4 linked regions of the Saccharomyces cerevisiae S288C genome follow. Changing the gene in region 4 together with the main gene of any one other region gives a genetic interaction. Each region holds a gene or a part of one and is shown on either strand. Other genes may lie near its edges. The genes, in order: UME6, SEM1, TUB3 and HTZ1.

Evidence for each region.
Region 1: mutations in HTZ1 (region 4) and UME6 together harm fitness more than expected from each alone (negative genetic interaction), as found in Saccharomyces cerevisiae (5 studies listed by BioGRID, with this or other methods).
Region 2: mutations in HTZ1 (region 4) and SEM1 together harm fitness more than expected from each alone (negative genetic interaction), as found in Saccharomyces cerevisiae (8 studies listed by BioGRID, with this or other methods).
Region 3: mutations in HTZ1 (region 4) and TUB3 together harm fitness more than expected from each alone (negative genetic interaction), as found in Saccharomyces cerevisiae (9 studies listed by BioGRID, with this or other methods).

What each region holds. Positions count from the first base shown.
Region 1 is NC_001136.10:863,023-870,601, forward strand, and holds UME6 (DNA-binding transcriptional regulator UME6), read right to left. Parts: upstream 4,501-7,579; coding exon 1,990-4,500; downstream 1-1,989. Other genes in the region: EBS1 (Ebs1p), read left to right, coding at 1-1,686; MSS4 (1-phosphatidylinositol-4-phosphate 5-kinase), read left to right, coding at 5,202-7,541. UniProt on the Saccharomyces cerevisiae protein: Component of the RPD3C(L) histone deacetylase complex (HDAC) responsible for the deacetylation of lysine residues on the N-terminal part of the core histones (H2A, H2B, H3 and H4).
Region 2 is NC_001136.10:1,198,756-1,203,934, reverse strand, and holds SEM1 (proteasome regulatory particle lid subunit SEM1), read right to left. Parts: upstream 1,808-5,179; coding exon 1,538-1,807; downstream 1-1,537. Other genes in the region: CDC40 (Cdc40p), read left to right, coding at 1-1,092; ESC2 (Esc2p), read right to left, coding at 3,382-4,752. UniProt on the Saccharomyces cerevisiae protein: Versatile protein that might stabilize multiple protein complexes involved in diverse pathways. Subunit of the 26S proteasome which plays a role in ubiquitin-dependent proteolysis.
Region 3 is NC_001145.3:21,548-26,639, forward strand, and holds TUB3 (alpha-tubulin TUB3), read right to left. Parts: upstream 2,137-5,092; coding exon 2,112-2,136; exon of another isoform or gene 2,017-2,111; intron 1,814-2,016; coding exon 501-1,813; downstream 1-500. Other genes in the region: PGA3 (cytochrome-b5 reductase), read right to left, coding at 1-152; phosphate transporter PHO84, read right to left, coding at 2,490-4,253; YML122C (uncharacterized protein), read right to left, coding at 4,491-4,871. UniProt on the Saccharomyces cerevisiae protein: Tubulin is the major constituent of microtubules, a cylinder consisting of laterally associated linear protofilaments composed of alpha- and beta-tubulin heterodimers.
Region 4 is NC_001147.6:300,503-305,521, reverse strand, and holds HTZ1 (histone H2AZ), read left to right. Parts: upstream 1-1,538; coding exon 1,539-1,943; downstream 1,944-5,019. Other genes in the region: PLB3 (lysophospholipase), read right to left, coding at 1-173; E3 ubiquitin-protein ligase HRD1, read left to right, coding at 2,487-4,142. UniProt on the Saccharomyces cerevisiae protein: Variant histone H2A which can replace H2A in some nucleosomes. Nucleosomes wrap and compact DNA into chromatin, limiting DNA accessibility to the cellular machineries which require DNA as a template.

The sequences.
Region 1 (7,579 bases), on a different chromosome or scaffold from region 4:
TATTTCCTGGGCCTTTTTGGGTCTGTTTGGTCACCTACCAGTTGGAGAGATGATACAAAACCTAACCAATTAAATAACGGTATCAAGTTAAGGCATTTGGAAAATGCACTCTACGAGACGATGTCAGCAAGATACCTGAATAATATTAAGACCATCTTTCACAATTTGATCATTACAATTGGTGGGTTCCATCTATTATTAAAAAGGCGTTCCGATGTAAGTGCAAAAACCTTGAAGGATTTACGTAGCAATGAATTGGATTACCTAAATTTTGCATTCAAGTATATTGCTCACATTTTAAATGATATCGTTAAGGAATCATGGAGCGAAAATCCTGAGGTTTCAGAAATTCTAGGTATGGTAAGAATTATCAATTGTTGGATAAAAGCAAATCCCATGGTTCTTCAATATTCACAAAGTAATCTAGAGTTTGTTAATGCCTTGGCATACTTGATAAATGATATTGTGAAAAAAAAACCAAGTCCTTCTTTTAGTATAACAGAACATATTCCTAAAAGGACATACTGGTTCGAAGAAGACTTAATGGTGAAGGGTTTATCATTCGTTAACTTTCAACTATCTGATTTTGACGATTATGAAAAAATTCTTGAAATGGATCATAGTCTCGATAGATTAATTGGTAATCCGCCATTATGCGACAAGTTATCGGCATCATCTGAAATGCTGTTAAGGTTGCAGGCTGTTGTGAATATAAGTTCGCAATTATTGCAGAACAACAACTGCGGAGTAGAATGGTCAGATAATAAATCACGTTATATCTTTAATAAGAAAATTGGATTTAAGGAGACCGTTAAAAATAGTATGAAGACATCGAAGCAATCCAATGAAAAGGCCAAGTTACAAAGAAAAAACAAACCTTCGACCACTAATGGCTCAATATCCATGGCGGATTTGGAGAGACAAATGAGAAGTAGCTCTTTGGATTCTTTTTCTCCAACTATGGGTTATAGTGGTTCGTCTGTACCTATGGCCCCAGATACGTTCAATGTTAAGCCCAGCGGTACAATAACGGGGAACAAAGTAAATGTAGAACTGTTAAAAATCGAACTAAGCGGTCAAAACGCCGATGGCGCTATTACGAATATATCTCCTGGTTACAGTAACGCAGCGATCTCTTCTTCAAATTCGACAGATGAATCATCCTTCGATTTGAACAACATCCTATCTTCAATGCAACAAAAGCACGCGGAAAAATCATTTGCCAAATCCATGCAAGGGGTGAATGAACAAATTCCAGCGAATGACGTCTGCCATCAAGCCCAGAGGCCAATGCAAGGTGGTCTGTATTCATCACAGCAACCTTCATCGATGTCTTCATTAAACTCCGCGTATCAGAATGCCTCGATGCCTCCATCTGCCTCCATGGTATCCTATCCCTATCCTTTTTTGAACCAGCAGGGGCAAGGGGTCTTTCCGCCTTATAATGCACAAAATTTACAATGGCAGAGCGAAGCTTACTCATTAAAGTCAATGAATTTTGCAAATCCAACGTGGCTAGGTGACCAGTACCAGACATCTGCGCCGTCGTCAGCATATGCGCAAGCGCAACGGCAAATGTTTCAACAACCTATGCAGCAAGATGTGGGGAAGTACATGCAATTTCCTTTTGACGCCCAAAGCAACACGGACAGCATGAGGGGAAACAGTCGGAATAATATGTTTTAATATTGTTCGTTTTTTATCATAGTTTTTCAAATCTTCATATGAATACTAGGTAGAAATTTGGCTTATCAGTACGAATGAATTACAGTTTGACTGATTTGTACACGAGAATTGACGTATAACTTCTTTTGAAAGTCTTTGAAATTACATGGTAGTACATACATATATATATATATATATATATGTTATATTATTGTTAATTAAATATTATTATGCGTATTTTCCTTTTCTTTATTAGTATAGTATTAATGACAGTAATAATAATAATAATAGTAACAATATCTCTTTTTTTTTTTCAGTGAGCTTTTATTTTTTTTTCATTGCTCTTCTTTTGGCCTCTTTTGTTTTTTTCTTGATTTCCTCCAGTTTCATCTGTTTTTTCTTTGGATCAGATACAAAATCTGGTTTGAACGCGTCATAGTGACAGTCCAATTTCAACCTTTCACAGTTGAAACAGTGCGGTCTTTCCTCGGTACACTTCTTTTTCCTTAATCTACAAATCCAGCAACCAGTACGGGACCTTGTACCTTGAGACGTTGAGGAAGTAGCATTATTCGATTCTTGAGAATTGTTTGCTTTTGATTTCGAAGTAGTATTATTTGGTCTTTTCTTTGATGACTGTTTCGCCTTTGATTTTGCCTTAGGCTTGACATTTTTTCCTTTAGATTTAGCGAAATCCGGCGAAGTAGCGTTAGGATAATCAGCGGTATATGCCAAGCCAGAAGAAGCCTTCAAAGATGGAGACGATGGAGCTGACGAAGTTGAGGATTCGCCAAGAGAATTATAATCGCTATTGGTTTGGCTTGCTACTCTTGCGTTTCCAACTGACCTTCTCGATTTTTTCAATGGTGGAACTTCCAGTTGCTGTTGTTGTTCTGGAGCAGAAAGGCGTCTGTCTATTCGCTTACCATTCTTATTCCAAGTAACTTGCCTTGTCCTTGACTCAAAAGTGGGATCTAAAACCTTTTTAGAGTTTAGATTTAAATGGTAAGGAGACAAGTCTTGATTTTGGTCCTGGTCTTCATCAAAAACAGCTGTAGAATTGTTGCTTTCGAAAATGGGTTGTTGTTCGGAATTATGGATACGTAACAGAATTGGTCTTAAGACACCCTTTGATGGAAAAGATGACGAATGAGGCCTACTAGCCGGCACACCGAGCGCATTTGTGTTATTCATGTCATTGACATTGGAAATGGGTTTATCATGAGTTCTATATGGGGATGATCTCATGTTTGATAGCACTGCTGCTGCTGTACCCAAGTCGTCGTCTAGTTTGGTAGATGAAGATGCAGAATTCGGACCGAGCAATAATCTTGATCTCAATCCATCCAATTTAGAATTGATGTATTTCGGTGGAGGTGGTGGGATGTATTGTTCATTTGTATGGAAGGGACTATTTCTATTGTTACGATTCGGCAAATCGCCGTAAAAAAACCCAGTAGAAGGTCTTGACGAAGTGGCAAACGGGTCTTCACCGCGATTGATATTGTTCCGTTGAGGGTTGTTGTTGTTTGTGCTTGTAAACGAAGATGCGGAAGTTGGAGGTTGAGAAGGTATTTGGTTGAACCTAAAATGCTGGAAATTGTTTCTGCTGGTAATGGAAGAGCTGGTGTTCGCATGTCGAGAGTTTGTAGGCGTATCCGTGTTTGAACTAGCATTGTTGGAGGATGATTCATTCAAAGAATAAGCCTCATCTCTGTATTTCGAATTTAGCCAGAACGATATGTTGATTTTTGATTCGTTCTCGTCCAGTTTTACATTTGGGTCTGTTATCTCTCTATCCTTGTTGAAATAGAAGTTCCTGGGCGCCACGCCCACGGCACATTGGTCATCATGCACATTATGCTGGACCTGAGAGTCGTTAGATGGACTGCCGCCGCGCTTAGTTCCGCCGCGCAAATACCCGCCAATCTCATTGTTATTAGAGGATTCTCTCGAATCTGAGCTTTGTATCGAATTATTGTCGTTGTTGTTGGTACTGTTGTTTCTGCTCAGTATCGACATAGGCGAATTGGTAGTCTTACCGTTGTTCTTGTTGGCGCTGGTAATGATGAGCGGCAAATCCGATCCTGTGCGGGAACGGATGCCCGAGCCCGTGCCCGCGCCCGAGCCTGCTGCGGTGGTACCGGGGGAAGAAACCGCTGGAGCTTGTGGTGGCGGCAAATGTATTTTTTTTTTGGCGCCGGCGACGATAGTAGTAGTGGCAGTGTTACTATTAGTGGAGGTGGAGGAGTAAGGGAAAACATCCTCGTTGGTTGCAGTATACTGCGGCTGAATAGCACCGGAAATTTGTGGGTCTGTAGCCTGTGCGACATGGCCATTGCACAATGACTTAGGATCCGAAGGTGTATTGGAAGGCGCGAGTGGGCTGGCGGCAGCATGCACAGCGTTATCGCTGTCACGGCGATCTTGAAGTGTAGTATTGGTCGTAGTAGTAGTATCGTTTTCCTTAGGATCGTCTTTGATATCTCCGCCACTTTGGACTTTCAAACTCGGCGAACCAGACGGAGTATGCACGGGAGTGTTGTTGGGCGCACATGTCGATTTCATAATAGAAAGCAAAGGGTTTTCATCGTAGGTTGTCTTGAGAGATTCGATGCTAGCACTGGAAATTGTAGGATGGCGGGAGTTAGCTCCATCACTAACTTCATCTTCTGCATGTTTTTTGCCGTCTTGGCTGCTATTCATCAGCGTGGCACGAGATGTTTTATTGTGCAAATAGTGATGATTGTTGGCGGTTGTTTCCATCGAAAGCAGAGAGGCAGCCGCATTAGATTCGTCCATGTGTTTGCTTTGAGAGCGCGCCTTGTCTAGCATCGTGAGTTAAGGTCCATGCAAATGGTTTGAGTGCGGTAGTGTCCTAGTTCCTGTGCGCTGTGCGAAGGTGGGCGCTTCTTACGATCACTGGTCTCTTGTCCTTGTCCTCTATGTTCTTTTCATTTTTCTTTTTGACGGCGGCAGTTTCCGCCTGGCATTGGTGAAAAGGCGCCTTGAAGCACGGCGGACGTGTCACCCGGACCGAAACAGAAGAGAAGTAGCGCAGTCTTGGCAATTATAGGATGCCCGAAATCCAACGTGCATTCTATTCTCGTGATTATTCTCGTGATTTCGTGTGCAACCAATGGACTTTAAAAACTGCGCTCTACTACTTGTAGCAATGCATGTTTTGGGCAAGTGGGGTTGAGTGGAGTGTCACCTCAGACGACGTGTCGCTTTTGTATATCCGTTTTTACGGACATAAGAACGTGCCGCCCATTCTGGGAAAACAAAACACAGGTTAAAAAAAAAAAGAAAGGAATGGATGGGGAATGGGACAGAGAGGAAAGATAGAGGTGGAAATAACAAAAGCGTGACAACAAAGAAGCAAATACGGAGGGACAAGCAAAGAAAAAACAAGGACAGAAACAAAAAATAGGAACAAGAAGTAGCACATTCATAAGCAAGAGAGTACGAAACCTGTTTACACCCCCCGAGACAGTTGCCCTATATCGCTTTTCCCTATCAATAGTTTCTAACTCATGTCAGTCTTGCGATCACAACCTCCTTCAGTTGTACCGCTACATCTGACAACATCCACCAGTCGCAAAACAGAACAGGAACCATCGCTATTGCACTCTGCAATAATTGAGCGACATCAAGACCGTTCGGTGCCGAATTCGAATTCGAATCCGGATTCGAACCATCGAATAAAAAAGGATCGCAATAATCACACTAGCTACCATTCTTCATCGAATTCGGAGTCAAACATGGAAAGTCCTCGCTTGTCAGATGGTGAGTCTTCCACTCCGACCTCTATTGAAGAGTTAAACCCAACAATAAATAATTCGAGGCTGGTGAAGAGAAACTACTCAATATCAATTGATCCTTTGCATGACAACAGCAATAATAATACGGATGATGATCATCCAAACACCATAACTTCTCCCCGACCAAATAGCACTAGTAACAAGGAAATGCAGAAATATAGTTTTCCCGAAGGTAAGGAGTCGAAGAAAATAACAACACCCTCGTTAAACTCGAATAATTGTTTGGATTTGGACAATTCCAGTCTTGTTCACACAGATTCGTATATACAAGACTTAAATGACGATCATATTTTACTAAACAAGCGCGTTTCGAGGCGATCTTCCAGAATATCGGCAGTAACAGCAACTTCCACGACAATTAAGCAAAGAAGAAATACTCAGGATTCAAACCTGCCCAATATTCCCTTTCACGCTTCCAAGCATTCTCAAATTCTACCTATGGATGATTCAGATGTAATAAAATTGGCCAATGGAGATACCAGCATGAAACCAAATTCTGCTACTAAAATTAGTCACTCAATGACTTCTTTGCCTCTTCACCCACTTCCACAACCTTCTCAAAAGTCAAAGCAATATCATATGATATCCAAATCAACCACTTCTTTGCCGCCAGAGAATGACCACTACTATCAACACAGTCGTGGCACCAACCATAATCACGCTGCTAATGCTGCTGCTGTTAATAATAATACTACTACTACTACCGCTGCTACGGGTCTGAAAAGATCAGAGTCTGCAACGGCAGAAATTAAGAAGATGAGACAATCTTTGCTGCATAAAAGAGAAATGAAAAGGAAAAGAAAAACATTTTTGGTGGATGACGATCGTGTTTTGATCGGTAATAAAGTCAGTGAAGGCCATGTCAACTTTATTATAGCTTATAACATGCTAACTGGTATTCGTGTCGCAGTGTCACGTTGTTCTGGCATAATGAAACCTTTAACTCCGGCAGACTTTAGATTTACGAAGAAGCTTGCCTTTGATTATCACGGAAATGAATTGACCCCTTCTTCTCAGTATGCATTTAAGTTTAAGGACTACTGTCCCGAAGTCTTTAGGGAACTTCGTGCATTATTCGGCTTAGACCCTGCTGATTATTTGGTTTCGTTAACTTCCAAGTACATTTTGAGTGAGTTGAACTCGCCAGGTAAAAGTGGTTCATTTTTTTATTATTCGAGAGATTACAAATATATTATCAAGACCATACATCATTCTGAGCATATTCATCTGAGAAAGCACATACAAGAATACTATAACCATGTAAGAGACAATCCAAACACTTTGATTTGTCAATTTTATGGTTTGCATAGAGTGAAAATGCCTATATCGTTTCAAAATAAAATTAAGCATCGGAAAATTTACTTCCTAGTCATGAATAACTTATTTCCACCACACTTAGACATTCACATTACTTATGATTTAAAAGGTTCCACATGGGGCCGTTTTACCAATTTGGATAAAGAAAGGTTGGCGAAAGATAGATCATATAGGCCTGTGATGAAAGATTTAAATTGGCTTGAAGAAGGTCAGAAAATTAAATTCGGTCCATTGAAGAAGAAGACTTTTTTGACACAGCTGAAAAAAGATGTGGAATTGCTTGCTAAATTGAATACAATGGACTATTCCTTGTTAATTGGCATTCATGACATCAATAAAGCTAAAGAAGACGACTTACAATTGGCGGATACGGCATCTATTGAGGAGCAACCACAGACTCAAGGACCCATAAGAACCGGTACCGGAACGGTAGTACGACATTTTTTTAGAGAGTTTGAAGGTGGAATTCGAGCATCTGATCAATTCAACAATGATGTGGATTTGATTTATTACGTGGGGATAATCGATTTCTTGACTAATTACTCAGTTATGAAGAAATTAGAAACGTTTTGGAGAAGTCTACGCCATGATACCAAGTTGGTGAGTGCCATACCTCCAAGAGACTACGCCAATAGGTTTTACGAATTCATAGAAGATTCTGTAGATCCTCTGCCCCAGAAAAAAACTCAATCGTCGTATAGAGACGACCCTAACCAGAAAAATTATAAAGACTGAGTAGGGCACAGGTAAATAACCTATCGTCTATGTACTCA
Region 2 (5,179 bases), on a different chromosome or scaffold from region 4:
TTCGTGCACGCGCTGGCTGAGGACAACCTAGATTCGGAACAGATAGAGGTAGAGGAAGTCTCCCATTTTTATGGTAAATCAGAAAAGGACTATCAAGGCAGAGGATATTTATATCCACCAAATGACGTCGATGTTGATCTTCGTGAGGAAAGGATATCCTTTCGGTGTTACTTACCAAAAAAAGTTATACGTAATTATCCGGGGCATCCAGAAGGAACCACTGCCCTGAAATTCTTACCTAAAACTGGACACTTAATTCTCTCTGGTGGTAATGATCATACTATAAAAATTTGGGATTTCTACCATGACTATGAATGCCTACGAGATTTTCAAGGTCATAACAAGCCTATTAAAGCATTACGATTCACCGAAGACTGTCAATCTTTTTTGAGCTCTTCCTTTGATAGAAGCGTTAAAATTTGGGATACTGAAACTGGTAAAGTGAAAACCAGGTTGCACCTTAATTCAACGCCTGCAGATGTTGAATCTCGGCCCACTAACCCACATGAGTTCATTGTAGGTTTATCGAATTCGAAAATATTACATTATGATGATCGTGTTTCAGAAAATCAAGGTCTTGTGCAGACATATGATCATCACCTAAGTAGCATTCTGGCTCTCAAGTATTTTCCCGATGGTTCGAAGTTTATTTCTTCTTCAGAGGATAAGACGGTAAGAATTTGGGAAAATCAGATCAATGTACCAATAAAACAAATAAGTGACACGGCTCAACATTCTATGCCATTTTTAAATGTACATCCGTCTCAGAACTATTTCTGTGCACAAAGCATGGATAATAGAATATATTCTTTCAGTTTGAAACCCAAATATAAGAGGCATCCAAAAAAGATATTTAAAGGGCATTCATCTGCTGGTTATGGGATAAGCTTGGCTTTTTCTGGTGATGGTCGTTACATATGTTCAGGCGATTCAAAAAGCAGACTATTTACTTGGGATTGGAATACGTCGCGCTTATTAAATAACATCAAGATTCCAGGCAACAAGCCTATAACTCAAGTGGACTGGCATCCTCAAGAAACAAGTAAAGTCATTTGCAGCGGAGCGGCAGGTAAGATATATGTATGTGACTAGCTATTCACTCGGAATGTTACTTGAAACAAATTAAATGGTTACATGGATGTGATTTGTTACTTAATTGTTATTACGGATGATATTATTATGATAGTAAAAATGACAATAATAAAGAAACGATTGGGGTTACCTGAAATTGCAAGTACTAGTTCGAGGACACATTTGCATCATATGGTAGAAAGAGCGGATCTTAATATAGTTAATTTTTTAAACTGAGACTGCATTTAAAGAAATGAGAAATCTCAGCTGAGTTATTTAATACTTTGCGTGCATCATTATTATACTACAAGGCCATATAATCGACTACCGCATAGCCTTTCGTATCTCTTTTTATTATTTATTTTATCATCTAAGCAAAATATACTAGTATGACAACAATGTACTAAAGTAACATTAGACGTATAATTTCCTTTTGCGTTATTTAGAAATAATGTTATGTAGCCCCTCACTGATTTTCCCGTTTGTATCTATCCAATTCGGCCTTCAATTCATTGGTGAAATCGTCGTCAACTTCAACATCATCCCAGTTTTCTTCCCATATGTTTGTTTGCGTTACAGCATTGCTTTTTATTGTTTCACCATTGGCCCATGTGTCAATGGGGAAATCTTCAAATTCATCGTCTTCCTCTAGAGACTTCTTATTTATTTCCTCATTTTTTTTTTTTGTTAAATCTATTTTACTTTGGGCTTGTGCAGCAGCAACGTCCGTACTCATATTTTTGCGTATTTGTACTATTATTCGACTTTTATTGCCACTCTATTCACTTTATGCATAGGTAGGTTTCCATTAGGACTTTAAAAGGTAACGCCCACCACGTTCGCCACCCATAGCACTAGTTTCGTAAATAATGATAATATAATGGATCCGACAGAACTAAGAAGCTTTCAGCCCTTCAAAATCCCTACTAGTAGGTTACAAAGACATGAGGAAATGTTGATATAATTTTTATTGTTTTCTTTAGAAGGTTAGTTTTAAACACAAACCCGAAAAAAAATTTATAACATTTTGAATGTGTTATTAGCCCTGTAGGGGGCTCGAACCCCTAACCTTATGATTAAGAGTCATACGCGCTACCGATTGCGCCAACAAGGCTATTTATTTGTGACCTTTTAAAGGTTAAAAAGGGATAATACATATAATTTCTCAATATCAAGATGCATCATCATGTATTAAACTGAGAAATAAGTGAATTCTATGAATATTGAGATAGGGTTGGGATTGCATTGTTGGAAAACAATATTTGGTTATCAATTCTTGCTTTTCAACTTCTACTAAAAATGGTAACTGCTTGTCAATCTTTATGTCAACTTCTTAGGTTGTATATGATAGTTTACTAATAATATGAACGTTAGTCGGGTATATGATGGTTGATTCTTATTCCAACAATATCAAACACATCAGTAATTTTCAATCACTTTAAAATATATTGATATAAACCTTTTTTCCATATAAATGTATTCACATTTTTTGCATCCATGATCACTGTTGGTAAAGTACGCCCTATTTATAGAAATACGTAAATAAGGAGCAATCGATAAAGCATGTAGACCAATATAGTGTTGAGATATTTGTCGGATCCCATCTTGGTGTAAGTAATAGTACTATGTGTAACAATAGTGGGTGAAAGCCATTCTTGATGGTTTAGAGTTCAAAAAAGAAAATCAACAATTCTGCACAGTACCATATTTATTATTTTTCTTCGTTTTCACCTAATCACTCATTGATGCAGTTACACTACCAATTCTTGCCCTTCAAATCACCTTAAAGGATGATGGCTTGAATTTTATTTTCTGCTGATCTCGTAATTTATACAACCTTTTAGCGTTGATATCATAATATTATGATGAAACGAATTATTTTAATTGACTGCTGTAGCAACAATAGAGAAGTAGTTTACCTCTTGTTCCAAGAAAACTATAGCCGAGGAAATATCAAATTGTTTTGATAGTTGTTCTACGTTAGATGTACTATTCAAACCTAGCACGAAAAAGCTGAAGAGATTTTTGTATTCATTAGGCGATCAAATTTTTATAGAAAAGCGTTAACATGTTGAGTTAGAGATGGAAAAATTCCTTTATAATATTTCACGGAAGGTAGAAGAGGGTCAGCACCTACTTTTTGAACAGAGAATTACCCGAGTATGATTTAAACACAAAAGGTCTTATTCAATTATATTCAGAAAATATTTTACAAGTACCGCAAGCACCACCAACACACCCGCCGCCCATAGTAAATAATAATTGTGGCACGTAAAGAGCCGGAGTTCGGCCTTTTTTAGCAAATTGCGCTCAATCAATAATGACATCAACCATGTCTTCATCTTCCATATCCTGATCGGCTATACACTCATTCATGTCCAATTCATCATGATCAAAAAGTAATTTAACCCTCGTCTTTTGTGGTAACTGTTTCTGGATTCTGTAATATTCGGCAATTTTAGAAAATGGTGTTGAACGCCTAACATGGACATAGATTTTTTTGTTATCTTGACCCATGAGAGCGATTCTCATAACTTCTTCCATGCTACTACTATTTCCTGACAAAGAGCCACCCTCTTGCAGAAGTTTTGTATTCATAACTGTATCATTTTCTTTTATTTCTTGTGTTTCTTCTACGTTTTTTAATTCGGATTCAAACTCGCGATATTCGGACTCTTCTTGTTCATTTCTCTTTTTCTCTAACTTCCTTTCCATCTCCTGACGTTCTTTTATGAGTAAAGCAGCTTCTTCTTCCTTTAACTTTGATTCCAGTGTCGCTTCAAAGTTCTTTTCGTATTCTTTGGATACGATAGTAACATCGATATCAGAGACTTCATTTTCAAAATCCTGTGGGATATGTAGCGAATTACAAGTCATAAAAGTGAGTAATTTTGCATTGTTCCAATAAAGAGTAACATTCTCTACCTTGTATATATCTTTCATTACCTTCGGAATTTTATAGGACTTCATCAATCCGTCCAAAGCAGCAGGAAGTATTTTTGAAAATTCGTATTTTCCGAGGACCTTCACTTGGACCGCTTTATTTATAGTTCCTTCTAGCTTAGAGAGAAATTTGATGTTATAAACTCGCTTCCGCTGGTCGGGTGTCGATTCTTTAGAAATAGTGGTGCTTTTTTTGGCTTCTTTAGCAAGTTCCTTGAAAAAGTCATCGTTTTCATCATAGGTATACAGTAATGAACTTTTCTGTCGCTTGTATTTTCCCGCTGGAGATATTGATCTTATGCTTGACCTGGACCTTGACCTAGATCTGGGAAAATTTTTGTCTTCGTCTAAGTCAGATTCAGATGAGTTTATTTCAACTACAGACTCTTTCATCACAGATCTTCCTCTAGTTCGACCCGATGGTTTGTCTGGCTTGGGCTCCGTAATATCTTCTATATTTACATTTTTACTAGATGATCTGCTCAGGGACTGATGTTGTTCCTTTGCGTCGCTATCTTCACTATCAGATAATGTTAGAGTTGAATGCTTTGATGGCGGTACCGTGACTTTAGAGTCAACTATGACACTTTGCCTATTACTTTCATCGCTATGATCGATTTCATCTATATCATAGGAATTGTCCATAAAGAAGTCATCGCTGTTTTCATCAGAAAAACTTGTATTATCTGGATCTAGATTAATTGAGGGTTCGCTGATGCTTCTGGAATCACCGGTCATCTGTTAACAGCCTAAAACAAATGATTTTTTCTCTTGCCTTTTATTGTTCAGGGCTATAATCCGTGTTCGCAATCACTTTAAAATGAATTCTGAAGTAATAATGAAAAGTTGTTCTATTTCAATTGCGATATACGCTGTCAAAGTGATATATGGTATTGGGAATTCATAGGCATGCTGGTCCCTCCTCTGCCTGTCATTTCTTTTCTTATATGCTACAATAAAATTTGCTGTCTTCTGTAAGGAAATAGAAGGGATTCAGTATCACCCGGAAAGCTGCGGTTCGAAAACCCTACGTTGCAAAAGAAGATAAACAACATTCCATTTTTTGTTCGAGAAAGCCTGGATGAGTTGTTAAAGCTTTGATTTCTACTCAGTAAGAGCAGTTTCATGTCCTAAAAACTAAAGCTAGTACTCTTTGATCCATTAG
Region 3 (5,092 bases), on a different chromosome or scaffold from region 4:
ATGAAGAGAATGGGTAAACTCCACAGGATTTTCAATTCACCAGACATATACGTGGTGATTGCAACACCAACAACGAATAGCGCGGCAGGAATATAGATCCCGTGGACAGGTTCGTCTAGAATGTTAGTTCCTTCTATGTCTTCTTTTGACATTTTCTTCACGCGGTTCTTGGAGTGCTTCCTTTTTTGTGATAAGTTTGGGTGGCAACGAGATGAGCTCAAAACTCTTTGTTTTTTATGGGTATTTTTGTCTTAGAATATTTTCAAATTTTTCAATATTCCGCGGAACATAGGGAAAAAAATAAATTTAATAAGCTATTGTTCTAACTGTACACCTAAAGGTAAGTGAAAAATAATTCGATAATTAGAGGTATCTTTATTTGGATAGAATATGCATATATATATATAAGCGTATATATATATATATATATATATGTATATACATATGGACATTAAGTAAATATAAATCTATAAGTGGGTATCGGGATCAGAGCCACTTTCTTAGAACTCCTCAGCGTAAGAATCGGCACCCACTTCAATATAATCTCTTTCTAAGGCAGCTAAATCTTCTCTAGCTTCGGTGAACTCACCTTCTTCCATACCTTCACCGACATACCAATGGACGAAAGCACGTTTGGCATACATCAGGTCGAATTTCTGATCGATTCTCTTCCAAGCGTCCGCGATGGCAGTGGTGTTGGATAGCATGCAGACAGCTCTATCCACATTGGCTAATTCGGAACTTGGTATCACACTTGGTGGCTCATAACAAATACCAATCTTAAATCCTGTTGGACACCAATCCACCATTTGTACTGTTTTTTTATTCTTCACCTGTTCGACGGCTCTTTGGACATCTCTGGTCACCACGTCACCTCTGTATAACAAACAGTTAGCCATGTACTTCCCCTTTGTTGGGTCACACTTAACCATTTGATTGCCCGGTTCGAAACAAGCGTTTGTGATTTCTGACACGGAGTTGGATTCATGGGTGGCCCTCTTCTTGGACAAGATGGGTGCGTAGGAAACCAAAGGGAAATGAATTCTTGGATATGGTACCAAGTTGGTCTGAAATTCGTTCAAATCCACGTTTAATGAACCATCGAACCTCAAAGAGGCTGTAACAGATGATATCACTTGGGCAATCAACCCGTTCAAGTTGCTGAAGCTTGGTCTAGAAATTCCCAAGTTCCTCTTGCATATATCGTAAATGGCTTCGTTATCGACCATAAACGTACAGTCTGCGTGTTCCAGGGTGGTATGCGTGGTTAAAACCGTGTTGTAAGGTTCCACGACGGAAGTAGACAATTGAGGCGCAGGATAAACGGCGAATTCCAATTTGGATTTCTTCCCGTATTCATACGATAAGTTTTCTAATAACAGGGAACCTAAACCGGAACCAGTTCCACCACCGAGGGAGTGGGTGAACAAGAACCCTTGTAAACCGTCACATTGGTCGGCCATCTTTCTAATTCTTTCTTCAACTTCATCCACTATTTCTCTACCCACTGTATAATGGCCTCTTGCGTAGTTATTGGCGGCATCTTCCTTACCGTTAATCAATTGTTCTGGATGGAAAAGCTCCTTGAAACGTCCTGTACGTACTTCATCGATAACATTGGGCTCTAAATCCACGTAGATTGCTCTTGGGACGAATTTTCCGTACCCCGTTTCATGGAAGAATGTAGAAAATCCTTCTTCACCTCCCTTAGGTTTTGACAAGCCATCCTCCAAATGGCCGTCTTCCTTGATGCCATGCTCTAGGGAGTACAATTCCCAGCATGCATTACCTATTTGACAACCTGCTTGACCAACTGTTGTAAAAAAGAAAAATAACAAAAGTTCCAGCAATCCTCCGAAGAAGAAGACACAAAAATCACTCCCCATGTAATGAGGTCAATTATGAGCTTTTTCGTCCGAGTATGCCCAGAAAAAATGGAGAAAAAGAAACTGTTAGTAAACTGTGCTGGTACAAGTCAAATTATTTGCCGTAAATCAACCAGATGGTGACCAATTGGGAATGAATCAAACCAGATCAGATCAAACTTCTTTCCCTGTCCCACAGGTGCCATTGGTTGCGAATATTGAACAAAAAAAGGAACGCATACATACCATTAATACTAATGACCTCTCTCATTGTCTCAAGTCGCTTGCTTAGTCGATTAATGTACTTTATGAGATACCTGATCTGTGTTTATATTTCTTTTAGATGTGCAATTTGTAAAACGTTTCGTGGTTTCCAGAGGCTCGAGAAATGATATGTCGGGTAACGTCTGGAACTAAAAAAGAAAGGACGATATGCTCTGCTCTGGCACCAGCCAACAGGATGGCAGAGAGATGTGAGGAAATAATGAAATTAAAAGAAATTATCGAATAAATATGTAACCTGACAGTATTTATAGATTATGTAAGGGGTTTGATAATAAGTTTATAAAAATGTTTTTGTATTATTTGTTCTAGTTTACAAGTTTTAGTGCATCTTTGAGGCTTTTATGCTTCATGTTGAAGTTGAGATGGGCTGGAAGATTCAATGTCATTATTCTTGTTTCTGAAGTTTAGCGTAGCAGGATCGATTTCATCGTGGTATAGCTCGTTAATTTCTTCTAGAGTCTTTCTCTTAGTTTCTGGGATCAACAAGGTTGTGAAGATACCCAACAACATGAATAAGGCGAAAATTTCCATGACGTGAGGTAACCAACAGTTGGTTGGCTTACCGTCTCTAGCACAGTTATGGTCGATTAGAGTACCCAAAGCGGTTTGTGCAATAATGGCACCGACCTTACCAGATGCAGCAGAAATACCATGAGCAGTAGATCTGTAACGAGTTGGGAAACACTCACCAGGAACAATAAAGGTGGTTGTGTTTGGACCGAAGTTTTGGAAGAATTGACAAATGACGTAAAGAGCCAACAGACCATGGTCACCAAGTTTATGGTATGCGAAACCGATGACACAGAACAAAGCGGTCAAGATGATGAAACCGGCTAATTGAATTGGTTTTCTACCGATTATATCGACAGTGAAGACGGATACCCAGTAACCAGGTAATGAACCAGCACAAATCAAAATCAGATTACCGACAGCAGTATCATACAGTTTCTTGTAAACGTTTTTGGAACCGGCATAACCGATGGTTTGCAGAATAACAGCACTGTTTAAACTCAACCCGTAGAAAGCAACATCTAAGGTAAACCATGAACCAGCAGTACCTAGCAAAATCTTACCGTACTTCCATTGACCAAAATGTCTGCAGAAATCTTTGAACGAAGCCTTTGGAGGATGATTGTCAAGAGATTCGACGGCAGTAGAAGCTCTTTCCAAACCGTTAATTGCCATGTCTTCATCACTGGTGTCGTGAATTTTCTTTTCGCCATCTTGTTCTTGTGCGGCAGCAGCAAGTTCCAACTTAGCGTTAACATCCAATTGATATCTAGGAGATTCTGGAATAGTTAATCTGAAATACAAACATGCCAACCCTAGAACGGTACCCAACCCAATAAGGATTCTCCACATTTGGTCACAAGCCTTTTGACATCTAGCATCACATTCAGCACCAGAGTTTGCGTATTCTAGTTCGCCCTTGTAAGCAGCAACCAAGATAAGAGCGATGATACCACCGGAGATTTGACCCCAAGCTTGGTTAGCAAAGACAGCACCCATGATGGCACCTCTCCATTTGGTAGTGGCAAATTCAGAAGTAATAATAGAAGATAGTGGGTAGTCACCACCGATACCAATACCCATGACAATACGGTAGAATGTTAAAACAGCAACGAAGTTAATAGCAGGAGAATGAGCAACAGTGGTTTGCAGAATGGTACAGACAATCATGATAATAAGTTCCATACCATAAATTCTCTTACGACCAACAATATCAGCTAAAGTACCAAAACCAAATTGACCAATAACAGTACCAACAGAAGTGGAAACCTTCAACAAGGTTTGACTTGGACCTGGCATACTACCGTGCCAGTAAACGTAGGACATCATAGTGATACCCAAATTAATGGCAAAAATATCATAAGAATCTGTCAAGAAACCAACACCAGCAATGGAGATGGTCTTAACTTGTTGCCAACCGAAACCTTCGTCATCGATGGACTCCAAAGCCAATCTTCTTCTTTCCAGAGGATCTTCAATATGAGCAAAATCATTCAAATGGTTGTGGAAGGCCATGTTACCACCTTCGGTAAGGTGTTCTTTATGAAGACTTCTTTCAGCAACATGAATAGTATCTTTATTGACGGAACTCATTTGGATTGTATTCGTGGAGTTTTGTTTGTTGTGTGCCCTGGTGATCTACGAGATGAGGAAAGATAAAATTTAGAAGTGAACTTAGAACTTTACTTTATACAAGAGATGAGGATGAGCTTATATATATACGTATACGAGCCACAATAGTAAGTGGATCTAAGTTGGCATTACCGGTGTGCAATGTGGTTGCATCATGCTGCCAAAAAGGAATAATAATTAGCTCATAGATGAGGTCGGTTAATTAATGAGTAATACGCACGTTTTTAATCTAGCTAATAAGCAGGCAAAACGGGAGAAGAGGGATAAGGAAAGCCTTTCACACGACATTTGGTGCATAACTGCACCGATCTCACTGATTTCGATGGACTGCGGCGAACCATAATCAATTGCCGTCGCTAATTTCCGCCCCACGTGCTGGAAATAACACGTCCACGTGGAACTATTAAATTGGCATCGGGCGGTGCGGCAGTGAGAGGAACGGGTGTTTTTCAGCCGGGCAACATTTTCTTCATAGCCGCTAGATGAGTTGAAAGGGCCCTTACGAGCAAATGCTGCACGTATAGGGCGCCTATAACAGCACCAACGTGCGTAATACTGATTGCTGTCATTTCTTGGCATGTTTTCTTGGTCAAGGTCTGTGATCTCCCCTTCCGGTTGTGTCTTTTCATAATAATATGGTTTTTTTATTCATAATTTGGTAATAACGGTTGATAAACGAGCGGCTGATAAATTAGTTTCTTTTTTTTTTTAATTTTTTTTTTTTTTGATCTCATTTCTTTTTTTATTGAATCTTTTTTTTTTTGTAAGAAAATTAAGGTTTATTAGGCAGAGTATACCGA
Region 4 (5,019 bases):
CTCTCATTCTGAGATATAGACGTAGCCTCTCTTACCAGATTTATGTCATCGGGACACGACACGGTGCCAGGAACATAACTATCTGTGGGCGACCACGCATTAGCGGCCAGTAGAAACTGAGAAATTGCGAATATGTAACTGATAATAATTTTTGAACATAATGGACGTATCATTACTTATATTATTATGTGTGTAATTTCCTTGCTTTTAGTCCTCTTAAAACGGCGTATTCCAAGCTGAAAAGTGAAATATTAGAACTCGTAAAACCACGTATAACTTATATAAAAGTGGATGAAAAGCGTAACAATAACATAGTAGTGTGGTAATAATGGTGATAGAATCCCTGCAAGTCTGGATCTTGCAAAAGAAGTGCCAAATTGAGTAATTCCATAGCCAAGCCATCTTAAAAGCAGGGAAAAAGAAAGAAGAGAAAAAGGCTCATTGCACAGAAGAACCAGTACAACATTCGCGGAACCGGCAAGATATTTTCGTGGAGGACTAAAGCGAAACGAAAACGGATGAAGTTGCGGTATTTCCTGATTTGGAAGTTCTATGGGGCGTCCACCGGTTTCAAAAAAAAAGGAAAAATGATTTGCGTTTTAGTCATTGAGAACGAAAGGAGGAATTGGATTACGCGGGCAGTAATATGGTGCGCGATGCTGGCGTATTAACGCGAGATGAAGGAGGCTGAAGTCAGGAAAACTCATGTGAGTGTGACGTTACCGATGACATTATGGACACTTTTAAATGGTCATGTGACGCGGTATCACAGGAGGCAAACAACTGTACTCAGCAATTTCCCGATCACCTACTAACTGCGCTCTCTTCGCCTGGTATGCTCTTTTTGCAACGCACAAAGCTTCGTATAGTATTCATTATACGATTATTAGGAGTGCTGATGACTATCGTCTGTATTCTCTGAAGTGTTTGCCGCTGTTGTGTCTTGCCTTGCAACAGCGTATGTTTACCGTTTTATATATTGCGTGGCGCGCACCCGGTGATAAGAAACATCCATGTGATAAAACTCCGCACGTTGCTTGATTAATTAACCTCGGAGGTGTTACCCGCAATCAATATGTCTGCCAGCCGCCCGCCCGCCCCGGAGAAAAGAGCTTAGGACAAGAATCACTGTCTCTTACCTTGGAATCAGGGCAGGTCCGCACAAGCGGTAGTAAGCACATACCTAAAATAGCAGTATTCTTCTTTCTTTAGAGAACGTTAGACTCAATTGAAAAGGTTTACTGAATGCATCCATGCTAGATTAGCACACAGTAACTTTACGCCCGTAACTTACTACTCGTAGAACTGGCCGCTGGTGTTCCGTAACCCGCCGCGCTCGCTCCGTGCACGAAAACAACAAAACAAAAAAAACAACAAATAAAGCATACAGCTCTATTTAACAGCTGAACTATTATCCAGTGTAATAGAGTCACAACCCCCAACTAAAAAACACTGCGGACTCTATTATACTTCAGTCGGAAAAAATATCGTTAAATTCAATTTCGCACTATAGCCGCACGTAAAAATAACTTAACATAATGTCAGGAAAAGCTCATGGAGGTAAAGGTAAATCCGGCGCTAAAGACAGTGGTTCATTGAGATCTCAATCTTCTTCAGCAAGGGCTGGCTTGCAGTTTCCTGTCGGTAGGATTAAGCGTTACCTGAAAAGGCACGCTACCGGCCGAACAAGAGTAGGATCCAAAGCTGCCATTTATTTGACTGCTGTGTTGGAATATTTGACTGCTGAAGTGCTGGAGTTGGCTGGTAATGCAGCCAAGGATCTTAAAGTCAAGAGGATTACCCCAAGACATCTGCAATTGGCCATTAGAGGTGACGATGAGTTAGATTCTTTGATCAGGGCTACAATTGCTTCAGGTGGTGTTTTGCCTCATATAAATAAAGCATTATTATTGAAAGTGGAAAAAAAGGGAAGTAAGAAATAAGAAGAATAGTTTTTCTTTCCCATTTCCCGTAATTCTCCCTGCTCCTGTATCCTCATTCTATCCATATTAACGTCTGTATCATTATTATAAGTTGAAATTTGTCTCTCCGTACCCGAGTTATATACATACATATATGTAATCTATCTCTCCTTTCACGTCTAATCTCTTATGTTTTTACTATAATATATAGCATGAAAATATACTCTCACACAATATTCCCAACGATAGCGCAGTAGCCGTTATGTACGCAGAAATTTGGTCAGGGCTTTCTTTTTGTTGAACTTTGCATACCCGGAAAAATGGAAATTAAGGACACCTACAAAAGTACACTGTAGAAATCAAATCAAAGAAAAGGTTTAATAGACGATAAATTTCCATACGTGCCGACAGGACAAAAAAAAAACCCCCCTACCATTTCTAATAACAGCTTCACCACTAGTTATACTGTCGACTTTCTACCGATTTGTTGGTTCCTTTTTATAACCAGAAAATCATCTATCAATTGCAATTTGTAAGAGAAGGGGAGAAAGACAAAATAATAATATGGTGCCAGAAAATAGAAGGAAACAGTTGGCAATTTTTGTAGTTGTCACATATTTGCTCACATTTTATTGCGTGTATTCAGCCACCAAGACAAGCGTTTCCTTTTTGCAAGTAACACTGAAGCTAAATGAAGGCTTCAATCTAATGGTTTTGTCGATATTCATCTTATTAAATTCTACCTTACTATGGCAACTCCTAACGAAACTATTATTTGGTGAACTGAGGCTTATTGAGCATGAGCACATTTTTGAAAGGTTACCATTTACCATTATAAACACCTTGTTTATGTCCTCACTGTTCCACGAACGGTATTTTTTCACAGTGGCATTTTTTGGACTATTACTACTCTATCTGAAAGTTTTCCATTGGATTTTAAAGGATAGGCTGGAGGCCTTATTACAGTCAATAAATGATTCCACCACAATGAAAACCCTTATCTTTAGTAGATTCTCATTTAACCTCGTACTATTGGCGGTTGTAGACTACCAGATAATAACACGATGCATCTCCTCCATATATACAAACCAAAAGAGTGATATTGAATCCACATCCCTTTACCTGATACAAGTAATGGAGTTTACCATGCTTTTGATTGATTTGCTAAATTTATTCCTACAGACTTGTTTGAATTTCTGGGAATTTTATCGCTCACAACAAAGTCTGTCTAATGAGAACAACCATATTGTCCATGGCGATCCTACAGATGAAAACACGGTTGAGTCTGATCAATCTCAGCCAGTGCTGAATGACGACGACGATGACGACGATGATGATAGACAATTTACCGGCCTGGAGGGTAAATTCATGTATGAAAAAGCAATTGACGTATTCACAAGATTCTTAAAAACGGCACTTCATTTGTCTATGCTAATACCATTTAGGATGCCTATGATGCTTTTGAAAGATGTGGTGTGGGATATCTTGGCACTATATCAAAGTGGCACAAGTTTGTGGAAAATCTGGAGAAATAACAAACAGCTCGACGACACTCTTGTCACTGTCACCGTAGAACAGCTACAAAATTCTGCAAATGATGACAATATTTGTATCATTTGTATGGATGAGTTAATACATTCTCCAAACCAGCAGACGTGGAAGAATAAAAACAAGAAACCCAAAAGGTTACCTTGTGGCCACATACTTCATTTGTCGTGTTTAAAGAATTGGATGGAACGTTCTCAGACTTGTCCTATTTGTAGATTGCCTGTCTTTGATGAAAAAGGTAATGTTGTGCAAACGACTTTCACTTCCAATAGTGATATCACGACACAGACCACCGTAACAGATAGCACTGGGATAGCGACAGATCAACAAGGTTTCGCAAACGAAGTAGATCTACTTCCCACAAGAACAACTTCCCCTGATATAAGGATAGTGCCTACTCAAAATATAGACACATTAGCAATGAGAACAAGGTCAACCTCTACACCATCTCCTACGTGGTATACGTTCCCATTACATAAAACTGGTGATAATTCTGTTGGGTCAAGCCGATCAGCCTACGAATTTTTGATCACAAATTCAGATGAGAAAGAAAATGGTATTCCTGTCAAATTAACAATAGAAAATCACGAAGTAAATTCTCTGCATGGAGACGGGGGCGAGCAAATTGCCAAGAAAATTGTCATACCAGATAAATTTATCCAGCATATCTAGATTGCATGTTTTATATTATACATAGTTTTTTTTAAAGAAAAAAACTACTGGATGAAAAACACACACACACACACATATATATATATTATACATCAGCGGAAATTACTCGATATCTAGAAATGCGTACACATGCTACATCGATCAGCTACGTCTGACCGAATACTTTTCAATAGTAAAAAAGGGGGCGAGCTGGGAATTGAACCCAGGGCCTCTCGCATGCTTTGTCCCCCTGTTAATCAGGAAGTCGCCCAAAGCGAGAATCATACCACTAGACCACACGCCCGATCTTTTCTGAGAACCATGAAAAGACTCAGAATTTATAATACACATCATGGCCTTCCAAAGCAACTCAGCCTATGTTGAAATGTAATTCTAGTACCATCCACTTATTATTGGTATTCATGTTACTAGTATATTATCACATACGGCATAGGAAGGTGACATAATGATTAAGGAACAGCTATCACATATAAAGGAAGCAGAAATCCTAAGGTTGATAATGCAATAGGATAATAAATGATAACATATAAAATGGAAGAAGAAGTAAACATTATCATAATATGTAGATATATCGACTCTCCTTTTGTGAATTCCTATATACTCAAGAAGAACTTCCAGCATATTTTGTATATTTAATATTATAACCTGTAACAACGATGAAATTCCAACAATTATCTCAAAATCACTCATATTTCAATTAGAGGGATAGTAATAGAAGAAGAAATCTGGTCCAAAATTCTTTTAATACTTGGATAAGTAAGTTATTCACGTAACAAAGGCTACACATTTACTATTCTTTCATGTAGAAATGCAATAAGCCATCTACGGTTCGTGGTGGAAAAATACAATAAAAAAAGAATCACCCGTAAAAAAAAGC